Stegostoma tigrinum: one gene and its partner. The protein of the gene in region 2 interacts with the protein of the main gene of each other region in a pairwise test. Links are inferred from orthologs where the notes say so. Each region holds a gene or a part of one and is shown on either strand. Other genes may lie near its edges.

The links.
Region 1: the proteins of uba3 (region 2) and cpne2 interact in binary tests that used the Homo sapiens proteins (3 or more experiments, as listed by UniProt). The two-hybrid records come from large-scale screens. The link is inferred for Stegostoma tigrinum from reciprocal best matches to the Homo sapiens genes UBA3 and CPNE2.

What each region holds. Positions count from the first base shown.
Region 1 is NC_081369.1:15,690,294-15,698,037, reverse strand, and holds the start of cpne2 (copine-2), read right to left. Parts: upstream 3,101-7,744; 5' UTR 2,970-3,100; intron 1-2,969.
Region 2 is NC_081364.1:43,405,391-43,413,212, reverse strand, and holds the start of uba3 (NEDD8-activating enzyme E1 catalytic subunit), read right to left. Parts: upstream 3,062-7,822; 5' UTR 3,009-3,061; coding exon 2,989-3,008; exon of another isoform or gene 2,918-2,988; intron 2,876-2,917; coding exon 2,837-2,875; intron 1,574-2,836; coding exon 1,453-1,573; intron 1-1,452. UniProt on the Homo sapiens protein: Catalytic subunit of the dimeric UBA3-NAE1 E1 enzyme. E1 activates NEDD8 by first adenylating its C-terminal glycine residue with ATP, thereafter linking this residue to the side chain of the catalytic cysteine, yielding a NEDD8-UBA3 thioester and free AMP.

The DNA of each region.
Region 1 (7,744 bases), on a different chromosome or scaffold from region 2:
GCAGGTCAGAAATGTTTTTTTTTGTCTAAGTTGCCCGAAGGATCGTTCCAGAGTTCAGAGGAAGGGTACACATCTGAAAAGGAGAATTTTTATTCTCACCATGGATTCTGCCTGACCTGCTGTGTATTTTCCTACTTTTTGTCAGATGTTCAACAGTTGCAAGTATTGCTAAAGCCATTCTTCTTTGTCTCTTCTGGGGCTTTGGATGTTAATGTAGGTAGAAATTGCACCAAGTATAAATGAATTGATCATTTCCGGTCTCTTTTTTCCATAACTACCTGTGTAGTTTGATGAAATAATGCAGTTCAATGTTGTAGGTGGAATCATATGTGACATTATGACCTTACCCTACTGTGTACAACAGTTTGCAAAGCAAAGACTCTCTTGATCGGTGTGCACTTGAGCAATTCTATTCTTTGTTAAGCAAATCATTTTGTTTGGAAAAAAAAGTTGAAACTTCAAAAAATTCAATTTTACATTTACACAATAAGAAACTGCATGTTTCTGAAAATATTATATTCAACTGCAATTTTCTCAGGGCAAAACTGCCAGTCAAAAGTGCCAATTTTTTGAATACTTCCCAGTGGTTCTACACAAAGTGTAAATGTAAAAATCTGGTGGCAAGAGGCCAGCTACAACGATTCTGCAGCTGGCACAGCATGAGACTGTGGACAGACTATTCATTGCTGCTGTCGCACACATAGCATCCAAAAGATTGTGATGGTACTGAATTTGGATTGCTTCTATTACATGGAGGCTGTTTAAAAAAAATTTGTAAAATGAATGCACCATAAGATAACAATAGTTACTGTGAAACACCGATTTACTGTAGTTTGCAGACAGAGCTCCAGTTTATTCAGAAGAATGAGGTTGCAGTCATCAGGCCAAGTTCAATTTCAAACCACAAATAAAATATCAGAAGTAAGCTGGATGCACAGGAGAACTTTCAGAAATAAACTTATCCTCGCTGGAAATCTAAAATCTAAGCAGTGGAATCATACAGCAGATTCAGCAGAATCCAGGGAGTGGGAAAGTAGATAATACTTCCCCATAGGCTGTTCACCAGAATATAAAGCGTGACTACTTTCCTTTGTAAATAATTGCAGCTGGAAAAATTATACCATATTGTCCGATGAGGGGTAGGAGACACCCATATCTTTAAAACTGGATTAGATGAGTAAATCATAGAATCCCTACAGTGTGGAAGCAGGCAATTCAGCCCATCTAGTCCATGTCCATCCTTCGAAGAGCATTCCCCATCCCACCCCCTGACTCACCTAATCCCTGTAACCTTGCATTTCCCATGGCTAATCCACCTAACCTGCACATCCCTGGACACTATGTACAACTCAGCATGGGAAATCCACCTAACCTGCAAATGTTTGGACTGTGGGAGGAAACCAGAGCACCCGGAGGAAACCCACACAGACACGGAGAATGCGCAAACTCCGCACAGACAGTTGCCCGAGGGTGGAATCAAACCAGGGTCCATGGTGCTAACCACTGAGCCACCATTCTGGCCTAGTCCGACAGAATTTTTGACACACACTCTATACTGGCACCCCACTGCGGTGATGAGTGAGCACTGTACTGCAAAAGGAATGGTGTTCTTCATGTGAAACATTAAGTGAAAGTCCCATCTACTCTCTTGGGTGGCTGTAAACAGATTCCATGATGTTATAAACAAACAAAGTCTTTTTGGTGAAGTCAACATGATGCCAACTCTTTCAGATCTTCAGAAAGACAATCAGACTCATGGGGCCCATGGAATCAACTTTTTCTGGCTCTCCTCCAAACCAACAAAGCTAGTGCTGTTTCTACTGTGTTTGACATTTCCATTGGCCAGACCTTGGCTAGTAGGTTATCTTAAAATATAAACTTCTACAGTTTTTATTGACTGGAAAGAGCTTTGGAAATCCTGAGATCACCTCAACCTTTCTATAAAATGGAATCTTTTACCTTTAAATGAACTATCGCAAAACTGCACTTCCAAGAAAATCATCTTTTGGGTCTGCCCTTCATCTCCAGAGAGTAGGATCGTTCTCTCATTCACAAAAAGGTGTGCATTAAATTCTACACATCCGCATCAAACATTAATCCCTCGCCCCAAGCAAATTGTGAAAATGATGGATGTTCGAATAACAATTATGATTTTCAAAAGGATAAAGCCATGATGCAAACACGAGTTGAAACATTCCGCAGTGACCTTTTAGTAAGCCAGCGCACAAACGCTGGGGGTGGAATTTAGCAATTTAAAGCGATATAATACCCTATTCATTTAGTCAGACCGTCCCCATGAACTGACCGTCCGCCGCTGTAGATTACTGTAAAGCAGATCAGATTGCTCAAGTTGACAAAGTAAAAGGGCACCGAGCAGCGCTTCGTTGCTTGTCTCATACGACTGCTTCCCCTTGCTGGCTAGTGGTTAAAGTTATAGCGCATAAGAAGGAAAAGAAACAAAACCAGTGACCTTTGTGTGATTACATACAGCGTTGACCTCTTCCCACACAGCGTCCACACACTGCAAAGTTCAGCAACTGAGCAGAAGAGAAGCCCGAGCAACTGGTCACCACTTTGATAGTTTAAACGTTTTCAGAACCTATGGTATCAGTGGGCAAAAACCGCCATCCGAGATCTTTCTGCCAAAGTACAATGGGGAATCCGTTCAGTTACTGGATTTTCCCTGTGCCTCAAGCACACCTAAATAGCACCTTGCTTAATTAAATGTCTTTAGGGAAGTTGCAGTTATAGTCAAACGCCAATGTTTATTTCTTCTCAATATGTACAGAACTGAACTGTTTAATAAGTGTATATACATAACGATTTTTTAAATGTATGAAGTATATATATATATACTTTTAAAAACCGTAGCTAGGTCAATCCTTGCTGGCTGTAAGAAGCTACTTTTTTTTGGTATTTAGAGGTTCAAAAGGCCTGAGCCTCACAATGAGAGGCTCGTTCTACCTTACCGTGAAAAACTGAAGAATGTGAGGACCCTGAACATGCCCAAACAACAGTTCGAGGCAGAGACAGTAGGAACTGCCAATGCTGGAGAATCTGAGATAATAGAGGCAGAAAGCTGTTTCGCTGATAGCCTGGGGAAACTATTGAAGCTGTTCAGTGAAGTTCATGCCGTCGCTGCCTACAGGTAACACATTCGAATACTTCAAGAAACAGCTCTGAAAAGGCAGGACTATATATCACACATTGCGGCGCGGGTGGGGGGGGGGGCGGTGGTGAGGTGGAGGTTGTTAGATTTAGAAAGAGCCTGTCACAATCTCAGGATACACCAAAACAGTTTACACAGCCAATGAGACACCGCAGCTGCAGTTAAAACAGCATAAGTGAACAGGTTGTGTGTGTTTTTCCTGATGTTGTTTGAGGGAGCCAGGGTTGTTCCAGACGCAGATAAATGCTCCTGTGCTCTGTCACTATACCTTCCGTCTGTCTGGGAGTATTCCAGAGAGAGCAGCCAGCGTTTCCCTCATTGGCCTCAGGGCTGAGAGAAGACCGTTCCCAGCTGAACCCAGCTTGATCCCCATGATTTATTTGCCCAGGGAGAGGGCGTCGCTCTACAGTTGCCCGTTTGCAATGGAACGACCGAGAGCCCACTCACGTGGAGAAGGCACTCGCTGTAAATGGGAAAGCTCGGGAGTTCCTCAGGGATCAGATTAACGAGGGGCTTTCCTATCATTGACTTACTCCCGATGGTAACAATTTGGTTCACCCTACTGAGTCAAATCTCACCCTGGACTCAAAACGCTCGGCTGGTTATATTTCCGCACTATATCGACAGCAGGATTTTTGGGGGGGGGGGGAAGAAGCGGGTGGAGGGGATGGGTTGTTTTTGAACCCTGCAAACGGAGACCCTTTCTGGAGGAAGGGACTGGTGTCAGAATTGATCGCAAGCGCGTGTATTTAGTTCGGTAAATCTGGCCGTCATCCCACCAAACCCCAACTCAACCGAAGAGGAGCAGGACGAATATGGATCCCCACTGACTACACTGTTTACTTGAGTCTCTTCCTTTGATTGTTGGATGAAGCCATAATCCAAATGTTTTTGTTTCCTCTGTGCTAATGCACTGCGTTTGTCAAGGGTTTTTTTGTGAGTAAAGTGCATCTTTGAATTTAAAGAAAAAGACTCCCTTCTGAATCACATTTGGGAATCTAAATGAATTTGCTCCTCCTCACTTATCACATGGTGACAGGTATGATTAAAAAGACGGGGTGGGGGTGGAATGTGGTTAGATTTGTAAATTGGATATACTGGCGAAGAAAAGATGAAACCAGTTTGGGATTGCACTGTGCAGGTCCAGTGTAGCAGCCCATAGCCCCTGAGGGTCCGGCACGTTGACACAGCTTGAGATACACGCATTGGATCATCAGCAAGCAGAATAATCCAAAGGATAGCAACAGTCCCACTCTATGCTTGGCCATTCATACGCCCTGCTGGTTTAGGTCCAACACCTTACCTGCGTTTTAATTCACCCTCTTCTTATCGCGGGGGCGTCCACTCCCTCCGCGCTCAGCAAGTTGCCATACGCCAGCAGAAGTTCCGAATGGAAGTTACACTCGCCACACAAGGTACAAACGCCCGGCCACCGGGAGCAGGAAGTGGCTGGAAATCCACTTGCGCCCGAACTTGAAAATTCAGCCTGAAACAGGCGCCCCTAGTACGAGACGGCAGACTGGCTCACACTGTCAGCAAACTTCTGATCATTTTCACCCCTTCCCCTCTCCTCTCCTCTCCAGTGGCAACTGTGTGTAAAACAAAACACACACATTGCTGCTGAGACTCCGCCTTGGGTTTTTTTTTGAGGAGGATGTACTCCGTTTATACAGTATAACCGGAGGAGCAATCCTGCTCTCCTGTGGCAAGCGAATGGCATTGGCTGCTTTCTCTCTCTCTCTCACACACAGGCAAAGTTAGGTTCATTGAGATATCAGACACTAGAAGCTCTCCCAGAATCCAGTATCACTGCCACCGGGTTCGAGTTATTCTTTCACATCCATCTCCATAAACAACAGTTGTAATGTGAGATAACAAGGCGTAGACATGGATGAACTCAGCAGGCCAAGCAGCATGAGAGGAGCAGCAAGGCTGACATTTCGGGTCCAGACCCTTCTTCAGAAATTGTAATGTGCTGTTTTCACCAGATACTCCGCATTGCTTTTGCCCTTTTTGTTAATATGGGAGACACCAATGATTTATTCCCCTCCACAACAGTTAAATAAAGCCCCAGTCATAGCGAAGCTTAAAACAGTCTGATTGCATTTAGTAATAATGCTACTTCTGGAGACACGCTAGTCCGTCGGAGTACCGCTAACAGGCGCCCCTTCTCCATTGCCCCTTAAAACACAGTCTCACTCTACAATTGGATTCCCCCTCTAACTTGTGAATTGAGAATGTATGCAGATCGAGCTCGACAATTCACGGGAACGTTAGTACTGGGAATGATAATCAAGATTTCAAATTAAACCGGGTCCTATATCTACTTAATAGGCTTAGTGTAACCGCATAACAATGTAAACCACTGAGAACAGGCACTGCTGGAGGAACTCAGTAACTACCAGGATGTTGTTAAACCTGAAAAGGGAGCAGAAAAGATTTACAAGGATGTTGCCGGGTCTGGAGGGTTTGAGCTAAAGGGAGAGGCTGAATAGGCTGGGGCTATTTTACCTAGAGCTTTCGACGCTGAGAGGGTAAGCTTATAGAGGTTTATAAAATCGCTGGGGGTATGGATAAGGTTAATATTCAAGGTCTTTTTCCAAGGGTGAGGGAGTCCAAAACCAGAGGGCATAGGTTTAAGGGACCTAAGGGGCAACTTTTTCATGCATAGGATGGGGAGTATATGGAATCAGCTGCCAGAGAATGGGGTGGAGGCTGATACAATTACAACATTTAAAAGGTATCTGGATGAGTACATGAATAGGATGGGTTTAAAGAGATATGGGCCAAATGCTGGCAAATGGGACTATCTCAGATTAGCGTGTATAGTTGGTGCTGAAGAATTAGACTGAGTGGTCTGTTTCCATGCTGTATGACTCTATGGTCTGAGTGAAGAAGTCATGTACCAGACTGTCCTAGACATTAAGGTAGTAAGCAAAACTAGAGTCAATGGGAAATAGGGGAAAGACTCTCTGTTCATTGCAGTGGTTGCTGGAGGCCTGTCCTTTCAGCTCCAGGACATCTCTACAGGAGTTCCTTGGGGTATTGTCATAGGCCAGTATTTCAAACTGTTCCCTCTCTTTCTCTCTTTTCCTACAGATGCTGTCAGACCTGCACTTTCTCCAGCACATTGTTTTTAATCCCGTTCTGACTGCAGTCCACTACGTGTTGCTGCCCACTGACTAACATATGCAATGCTGTAACCATAGTGTGCATTAATTGCAGTCAAGCTAAGTGGGAAAGTGCCCAGGGTCATCCCAATGACTGGATGGGTTATTTGGAGATTCTTTAGTCTATTCGTTCATAGGATGCTAAGTTTTACTGGCTGGGATAGTGCTAATTGCCCATTCCTGTTGCCCCTGACAAGGTAGCGGTGAACTGTCTTCCTGAAATGCTGCTGCCCATTTGGTATAGTTATACCACAATGCCTTAAGGAAGGTAGTTCCAGGACTTTGACCCAGTGACAGTGAAGGAAAGGTGATATAGTTTCAGGATGGTGAGTGACTTGGAGGGGAACTTGTAGTTGGAGGTGTTCCTATATAACTGCTGCCCTTGTTCTTCTAGATGTAAGTGGTCATAGGTTTGGAAGATACTGTCTAAAAATCTTTGAATTTCTGCAGTGCATCTTATAGATAGTACACAGGGCTGCTACTGAGTGTCAGTGGCGGAGGGAGTGGATGCTTGTGGATCTGGTGCCAATCAATTGGGCTGCTCTGTCCTGGAAGGTGTCGAGCTTTTTGAGTGTTATTGGAGCTGCTCTTGTCCAGGCAAATGGGAAGTATTTCATCACACTCCTGACTTGTGCCTTGTAGATGGTGGACTGGCTTTGGGAAGTCAGGAGGTGGATTACATGCTGCAGGATTCAAGCCTCTGACTTGCTCTTGTAATCACAGTATTTATATGCATAGTTCAGTCTCTGGTCAACGGTAACTCCCAGGATGTTCAGAGCGGGAGATTCAGAACGTCAAGTGACAATGCTCTCATTGTCTCTTTTTTGGAGATGGCCATTGCCTGACACTTGCACGGCTTGAACGTTGCTTGCCACCTGTCAACACAAGCCTAGATATTTCCAGACCTTGACGAATTTGGACATAAACTACTTCAGAATCTGAAGAATTGCAAATAGTGGTGAACAGCTCCATTTCTGACCTCATGATGGAGAGAAAGATGAAGCAGCTGAAGATAGTTGGGCGTAGGACAATACCTCAAGGAACTCCTGTAGAGATGTTCTGGAGCTGAAAGGACAGACCTCCAGCAACCACTCCAATGAACAGAGAGCTTTTCCCCTATATCCCATTGGCTCTAGTTTTACTTGGGCTCCTTCATGCTACACTCAGTCAACTACTACCTTAATGTCTAGGACAGTCACTCCCACCTCGCCTCTGGATTCACCACTTTTGAACTAAAGCTCTAATGGGTTTGGGACTGAGTGGCCCTGGCAAAATCCACACTGAATACAGTGAACGTGTTATTGCTAAGCACATGTTGCTTGATATGACTGTTGATAGCAACTCCCATCATTTGGCTGGTGGTACCAATAAAGCCACTTTACTTACACCTGAACCTGGGAAAGAA
Region 2 (7,822 bases):
GGTGGAGAGGAGAGTATAGGTGGGGAGGTAGGGAGGGGATAGGTCAGTCCAGGGAAGACAGACAGGTCAAGGAGGAGGGATGAGGTTAGTAGGTAGGAGATGGAAGTGCGGCTTGGGGTGGGAGGAAGGGATGGGTGAGAGGAAGAACAGGTTAGGGAGGCAGAGACAGGGTGGACTGGTTTTGGGATGCAGTGGGTGAAGGGGAAGAGCTGGGCTAGTTGTGTGGTGCAGCGGGGGGAGGGGACGAACTGGGCTGGTTTTGGGATGCAGTGGGGGAAGGGGAGATTTTGAAGCTGGTGAAGTCCACATCGATACCATTGGGCTGCAGGGTTCCCAAGCGGAATATGAGTTGCTGTTCCTGCAACCTTCGGAAAATCTCAACTTTTCAAAAGTACATCAATGTGCAATTGAAAGGTCCTAACATTCAAGGCTATAAGTCAAATGCTGGAAAGTGGGATTCGGTGCCGACTTGATAGGCCAGAGACCTCTTCTGTGCTACATGACCAGGAGCTATGAGCATTTCCCAACTGCCAATTACAAGTAGCTACAAAGACTGCAGTCTATTGACAGAAACAGCAGATCTGGTATATTAAGATTTTAAAAAGGCCTTTGAAAATTTGCTCTGAAGTCAAATCACTGATAAAACAAAGGCACACGGTACAAAATGGAATTTGTGTGGAGGATATTGCTTGAAAAATACATACGTTCTGTCCCTAATTGTCCATAATGCTTCCATTAATGTATTTATATTTCCAATTAAATGGAACAAGCTATGGCAATTTGGAAATCTACAAAGCAGCTGATCTTGCACAGTAAGGCAAAGTAACTGGGATGTACAAAATTAAGACATCACAACGTTAATCTGGTAACAAGTTGTAATTGCAGCTAGATTCTTCATTTTACTCAATCATTCTATTGCTTTCTCCATTGTGTGCTCATCTCATGACCCTTGAAATGCACTAAAGTCAGTGTTTCAATTACTGTGGTATGGCAGCAAATTCCATTTTCCAAACTTTTGCATGAAAATTCGTGTGTTTACATTAAAAATAGAAACTGACTAAAATGTAACAGACTAAGATTTTAGACCTAAATCGATTGCTTTCAATTTGTAGCCACAAACAGGGGAATTTTAAACTTAACCCATTAGCAGGATTTTGACAAACCAGACAAGCTATCTACATTTCACCACAAAGATAAGGAAATACTGTTTATAGATGTTGCAACTCGAGAGTTTGCTCAAAGCTGTTGTTTTGTGTCAGCAAACAAAAACAGCAAAACAGAATATTGAGGTTTTGCATCAGTGGTAGGTTTCCTAATTTAAGCAGCTATTGCGTGACTTACTGATATCCGACGTTGTTTGTTCTCACTGTGACATAAACATTTAGCAAAAGCAAAAAGAAATTCACAGCTGCTATCAAGTACCAAACTTAGATTTATAACAACGTTTCTCACTTCAGTACTTGGTTCAAAGTCAGGGTGTGAGAGCGGTCCTGAACGCTCAAGGAACTTCCTCACGTGATTCCAGCGACCTTCCCAGTCTCCAGTGTCCCCATACCCACCATCAACAGCCATTCTGCACAGAACACAATAAACTCAACTAGAGATTTAGTTTTCACAACACAGCATAATTATTAGAAATATTATTTAAGAGAACTACTTGTCTTAGACATTCTCAAAAGTAGTATTTACATTTCTTTAAAGATGGAGACTGAATGAGCCTCAAACAACTCTAATTTTACTTTAGTATTACAAGGCCTCAAATCAGACAAAGAATCTCTCAGATGGGGAATTTTCAGCAATCTCAACACCAAAACGTAAACATAACATTTAATCATAACTTTAGCGAGTTACACAACGACCGAAATACAGATTTACCCCAATTAAAACTGGTGCAAACATCCTTTCTTGGAATAGTTGTTAAATTTTACAAGCAGCACTGACACCAGCTAAAATTAAAGTGTAAATTATTTTCACTGAATTTGCAATTCCCCACAACCTCCTAACAAGGGATAGTTCTAATGTGCTGTAGCATAGACAAGGGAAAGAAAATAGAAAAACAAACTACTGATTGTAACTTTACAAGCTACAATCAAAGATGAGTATGCAAGCAAAACATTTGTCATGGGCGCCCAGTATAACATAAAGGAGCAGGATTGAAAAGGAGCCAAAATACATACAGTACTATATCAAAATTAGGGACTTTCTAATCGAATTGAAAAGACATGGGATTGTTACCTTGAACCATTTTTATACGGGTATTCAGTTAGGACCTATAATATTTCTTTCTTACATTTCAGTAATATTACAAGGGTCAGAAATTTCAAAAAATGCTGCATATTATAGAAGAGGAGATTATTTGGTGCTGAGAAGCAACACATAGAATCGACTTCTAAAAATGTAAACATAACATTTAATCACAACTTTAGCGAGTTAGACAACGACTGAAATACAGATTTACCCCAATTAAAACTGGTTATGCGTTAATCAGGTCTCCTATACAAATGATGCAAAACACAACTGGGAGTTTTTAGCTGTCAATTTAGTTCATGTCACGTCAATTTAGTTCATGTCACGTCAATTTAATTCACGCCAATGAATAAATGTTTAATAAGGCTATTTAATGTTTTAACACTTATTGCAATCCCAACAGATTTCCTCCTCCTTTAAAAAATATATTCCTATTCCTCCAAGCAGTTAATTCCCGAGTTTAGGACGAATAAGGATGCAGGTTGAGGCCGCACTGATCCCACTGCTCGGAGCTGCAGCTCATAACAAGCCTCCAGCCTCAGACCTCGCAAGCAGAAAATCAGGGCCGCTAAATTCATTCAACACTAACTTGTCAGTGTGCTCTTCTACTTTCCTTCTTTTCTTCTCCCTAAAAAAAAGAGAGAATAAAAGAAGGTTCAGACATGCTCACCCGAGAGAAGAACGAGCAGAAGTCAATGCGAGAGAGGCCTGAGCGGCCGGAGTTCACGCAGAGATACTCACGGCTCCGGTACATCCGCCATATTTTCCTGCTCCCATCAGCCAGCGCAGCCACGGCTGGGACGGTCCATTGCCGCCGACCAATCATGACATCCCACAATCCCAGCGGCCAATCCTTTCTCCATCCCCCCAAGACAACTGGCTGTCAGGGAGTGACGTCATCATTTGCCTTTGGACAGCCTGCAGTTTGGGTTGTCAGTGACTGGTGGTCAGACCTTGCTGTTAAGTGGATCAAAGTTGATTCTGCAGTACTCCAAGGTTAGCAAAGAGACAAAAAAAAATTCAAGATTGCACGTTAGTGAAGTTCATTGTCGCTGCTGTTGTTCGGATCACGGCTGTCATTGGCAGATGTTAAACAGCAGCTCAAGTGTCTGTACTTTTAACACAGATTGTTGCATAATGTGGAGGATAGGAAAATGCTCAGTAAAATCATTGTGTTTGTTTGTAGCTAGTCAAAAGGAACCCAAAACGTTGGGATTTAGAAATCAAATTTGGGGGATGCTCAATCTGTATTTGGGTCAGTGAGGTTGCATTTTGACTGCCATGTTCATTTTTAGTCTCTATATTGCAGGAACAATGCAGAATTTTTGAGTGAGATGAAGAGGTTGGCAATATGAGACACTTATAAACTCAGACAATTGAATTATGAGTAAAAGATCTTTATTCAGGGACATTGATTTGGATTTGAGAATTTAAGAATTGAGATAGCCATTGCTATGCAAAATTTAGGTTCTGGAAATGCCTTTGAGAAATGACATCGGTATTAAAGTCATCAGAAATATCTGTTTTATATAGATTCCCTACAGCATGGAAACAGGCCCTTCGGCCCAACAAATCCACATCGCCCCTTGAAGCATCCCACCCAGACCCATCCCCTTATAACCCACACACCCCTCAACACTACAGGCAATTTAATGGCCAATCCACCTAGCCTGCACATCTTTGGCCTATGGGAATAAACTGGAGCACTGGGAGAACGTACAGACTCCACACAGACAGTCGCCTGAGGCTGGACTCAAACCTGGGTCCCTGCTGCAGTGTTAACCACTGAGCCACCGTGCTGCTCTAGCCATAGCAGATGACCAATTAAACTTAAATATCCCCAAAACAAATACCCAACTCCAATCAATAATATCATTAATAGAATGCTCCATATCCTGCTTTGCCCACCAATCATGGTGTCTATTAGTTTTATCAAACTGATGTTAGACTAATTGACCTGTAAAATTCAAGGCGCTCTCTCTGTTTTAAACAGAACTTAGTGTTTTGCTTGACTCTCACTCCACCCATGTGCTAGTCTTATAAACAGAGCAATTGGTTTAATTGAGCAATTTGTCTGCAGACAGCATGTTTCATTCAGTTTCCCGCTCAGAATTCCAGAGGTCACACTTCACTTTATTACAACCTACATGATTAATATTTCTAGTGAAATTTGTGAATTAAAAACAAAGCAGCTGAGACAAGCAAAAATGCTGACAATTCAAAGATTAGAAATATCCCAATGTTACAGTTATTCCCATTTTTGTCCCCACTCTGTGTGGACTGCAGTGTCTTTAAACAGCAGTGGCTAAATAAGGACATAATCGCAAAACCCTGCTGATCTGGAGGAATACATTACTGTGTGTCTGTGTACCAGGCTGTCACAAATATGGTGTAACCACCACAGCTTCCACCACTGTCAGAGATATTCCTACCAACTACCCAACATTGCTGCTTCTTCAGGATGGGTGGAATTCTGCTGTAGGCAGGAGTTCATGATCTCACAAAATTATTGCAAACTTTTGCATTTCAAGGCCAGTTGCATAATTAGATTGAAATGGAAATGTGCGAGGGGGTAGGATTGGGAGGAACAATGACTTTGGCTACAATTGTGGCATTGTTTTAAAACTATTTACTATCTTCTTTGCTCAGGGCAAAGCCACCAATTTTTGTCCCCTACTGTTGATTTGTTCAGCACACAGAACTACATGACAACTCTGCTTTTAGAAAGCTAAAGAGCAAAAAATAGTGGCTTTGCCCTGAGCAAAGTAAATAGTTTTAGAACAATGCCACAGTTGTAGCCAAAGTCACTGTTTCTTCCAATCCTGTCCCCTCAGCACATTTCCATTTCAATCTAATTATGCCACTCGCCTTGAAATGCAAAAGCTTTCGTGCTCCTAAGGTGCTGCTTTGCCTTCTGTGTTCATCCAGCTCCACACCTTGTTATCTCATATAATTTGCAAGGTAGATTGAGAAACAACTTTGAAAGCATAGAACTGTGTTTACCTGTAAGGAGAAAGTATGTCACATTTAACCAAAGCAGTTAATTTCAAGAACTCATCAGTGAAACTTGTACAAAATTGGTCTGTAAAAAAACTATAAATGTTCTTTTTGTTGACATTGAATAATTCTGTAGAATCTCCCACGGGACAAGATGGTGACACGGTGGTGATATTATTGCATCAGTAATCCAGAGGCAGCAACTGGTGGAATTTAAGTTCAATACAAAAATTTGGAATGCTGAAAAAAATCCACTAGTCTCAGTAATGTACCTATCATTGATTGTTTTAAAAATATGTTTGATTCACTAAAGCCCTTTAGGGAAGCAAATCTGCCATCTTTAACTAGTCTAGTCTGCATGAAACTCCAGACCAAAGCAAGACTCTTTAGTGCCTTCTGAAATGGCCTGGCATACAATTAGGAATGGGCAACAAATGCTGACCTTGGCAGTGATGCTTGCATCCCAGGGAAGAATAAAGAAGAAAAACACAGAAAATGGAAAATTTGAATCTTAAAGCCCAAAACTAATCTGTACAGCATTAGGATATATGTATTTTACGTCAGACATTTAATACCATCATTCATTTGTGAGAAATGGATGAGTTGCCAATTTTGTTAAAGTAGGAGACAAAGTAATATCAAATGTGCAAGAAGTTTTGGCATGCTAATGTTTATACAATAGGATAGTAGAAATTGACAGACGAATAATAGCCCAAGTTTGTTTTGTCTCCGAGTTTAGTTCTGAGTTCTCCCCCATTCAAGTGCAAATTGATTAAAATGAAATACTTTGATGTAGTCTGCACTATCTAATCCATCTGTATGTGTGGAGTTTGCACATTCTCCCATGTCTGCATGGGTTTCCTCTAGGTGCTTTGGTTTCCTCCCGCAGTCCAAAGATGTGCAGGTTAGGTGGAGTGGCCATGCTAAATTACCCATAGTGTCCAGGGATATCTGGTTGGGGCAATTAGCCATGGGAAAAGCAGGATCTGAAGTGTGGGTGAGATCCTATTTGGAGGGTGGTGTGGACTCGATGGGCCAAATAGCCTGCTTCCACACTGTAGAGATTCAGAGATATTACTATATTTCCTTGTATTTTTCAGGGATACATTGCATAATTGACATAATTGCTCCACATAATTTTATGCTCCAAATTTTAATGGAGATTGCAGGACAGCATGCTAGGACTGGTGCCAGTCAAACCTAAAAATGAGATATCAACCTGAAGAAGCTACAAACTACTTTCTCACCAAACTGTATAAACAGCAAGTGATAGACAGAGCTAAGCAATTCCACTACCAACAGATCAAATCTGCAGTCCTGCTAAACCCAGGCTTGAATGGTGGTGAACAACTCACTAGAGAAGACTTAACAAATACATCCAACGTCAATGATGTAAGAATGAAAAACATGACAAATACAATTAGCACTCCATCAGTCTACTCTCAATAAAGTGATGGAAGGTGTCATCAACAGTGCACTCAAGCAGCACTTGCTTAGCAATAACCTGCTATTTGACAGTCAGTTTGAGTTCCAACAGGACCGTTCACCGCCTGACCTCATTACTGCTTTGGTTCAAACGTAGATAAAAGAGCTGAATTCTACAGGTGAGGTGAGAGTGACTGTCTTTGGCTTCAAGGCTGCATTTGACCCAAGTGTGGCATTAAAGACCCTAGCAAAACCAGAATCAAAGGGAATTGGGGAAACTCTGCACTGGTTGGAGTTACACCTGGCCCAAAAGGAAGATGGTTGTGGTTGTTGGGGGTCAGTCATCTCAATGTCACAACATCTCCACAGGAATTCATCGAGGTTGTATCCTAGGCCTAACCATCTTCAGTTGCTTCATTAATGACCTCTCCATCAGAAAGATCAGAAGTGGAATTGCTATATGTTCAGCACTATTTGTGATTCCTTAGGAAGTGAAGCAGTCCATGTCCTAAATATGGATAATGTCTAGGCTTGGGCTGATGTGGCAAATAGTATTTACATCACACAAGTTCCAGGTAATGACCATCTCCAACAAGAGAGATTCTAACTATCACGGAATTGGAATTCATTACCATCACTGAATCCTCGACTGTGAATATCCTGGGGATTATAGTTGACCAGAAACTGGACTGAACTAACCAATCTAACAAAAAAAAGGAGTTGTAATGTTTGGATCATCACAAAGCCAAGTGGAACAAAATGAGGCAAGAATTAGAAAGTTCAACCTGGATAAATGCGAGGTGATGCATTTTGGAAGGTCGAATTTGAAAGCTGAGTACAGGATTAAGGATAGGATTCTTGGCAGTGTGGAGGAACAGAGGGATCTTGGTGTGCAGATACATAGATCCCTTAAAATGGCCACCCAAGTGGACAGGGTTGTTAAGAAAGCATATGGTGTTTTGGCTTTCATTAACATGGGGATTGAGTTTAAAAGTCGAGAGATCTTGTTGCAGCTCTATAAAACTTTGGTTAGATCGCACTTGGAATACTGCGTCCAGCTCTGGTCGCCCTATTATCGGAAAGATGTGGATGCTTTGGAGAGGGTTCAGACGAGGTTTACCAGGATGCTGCCTGGACTGGAGGGCTTATCTTA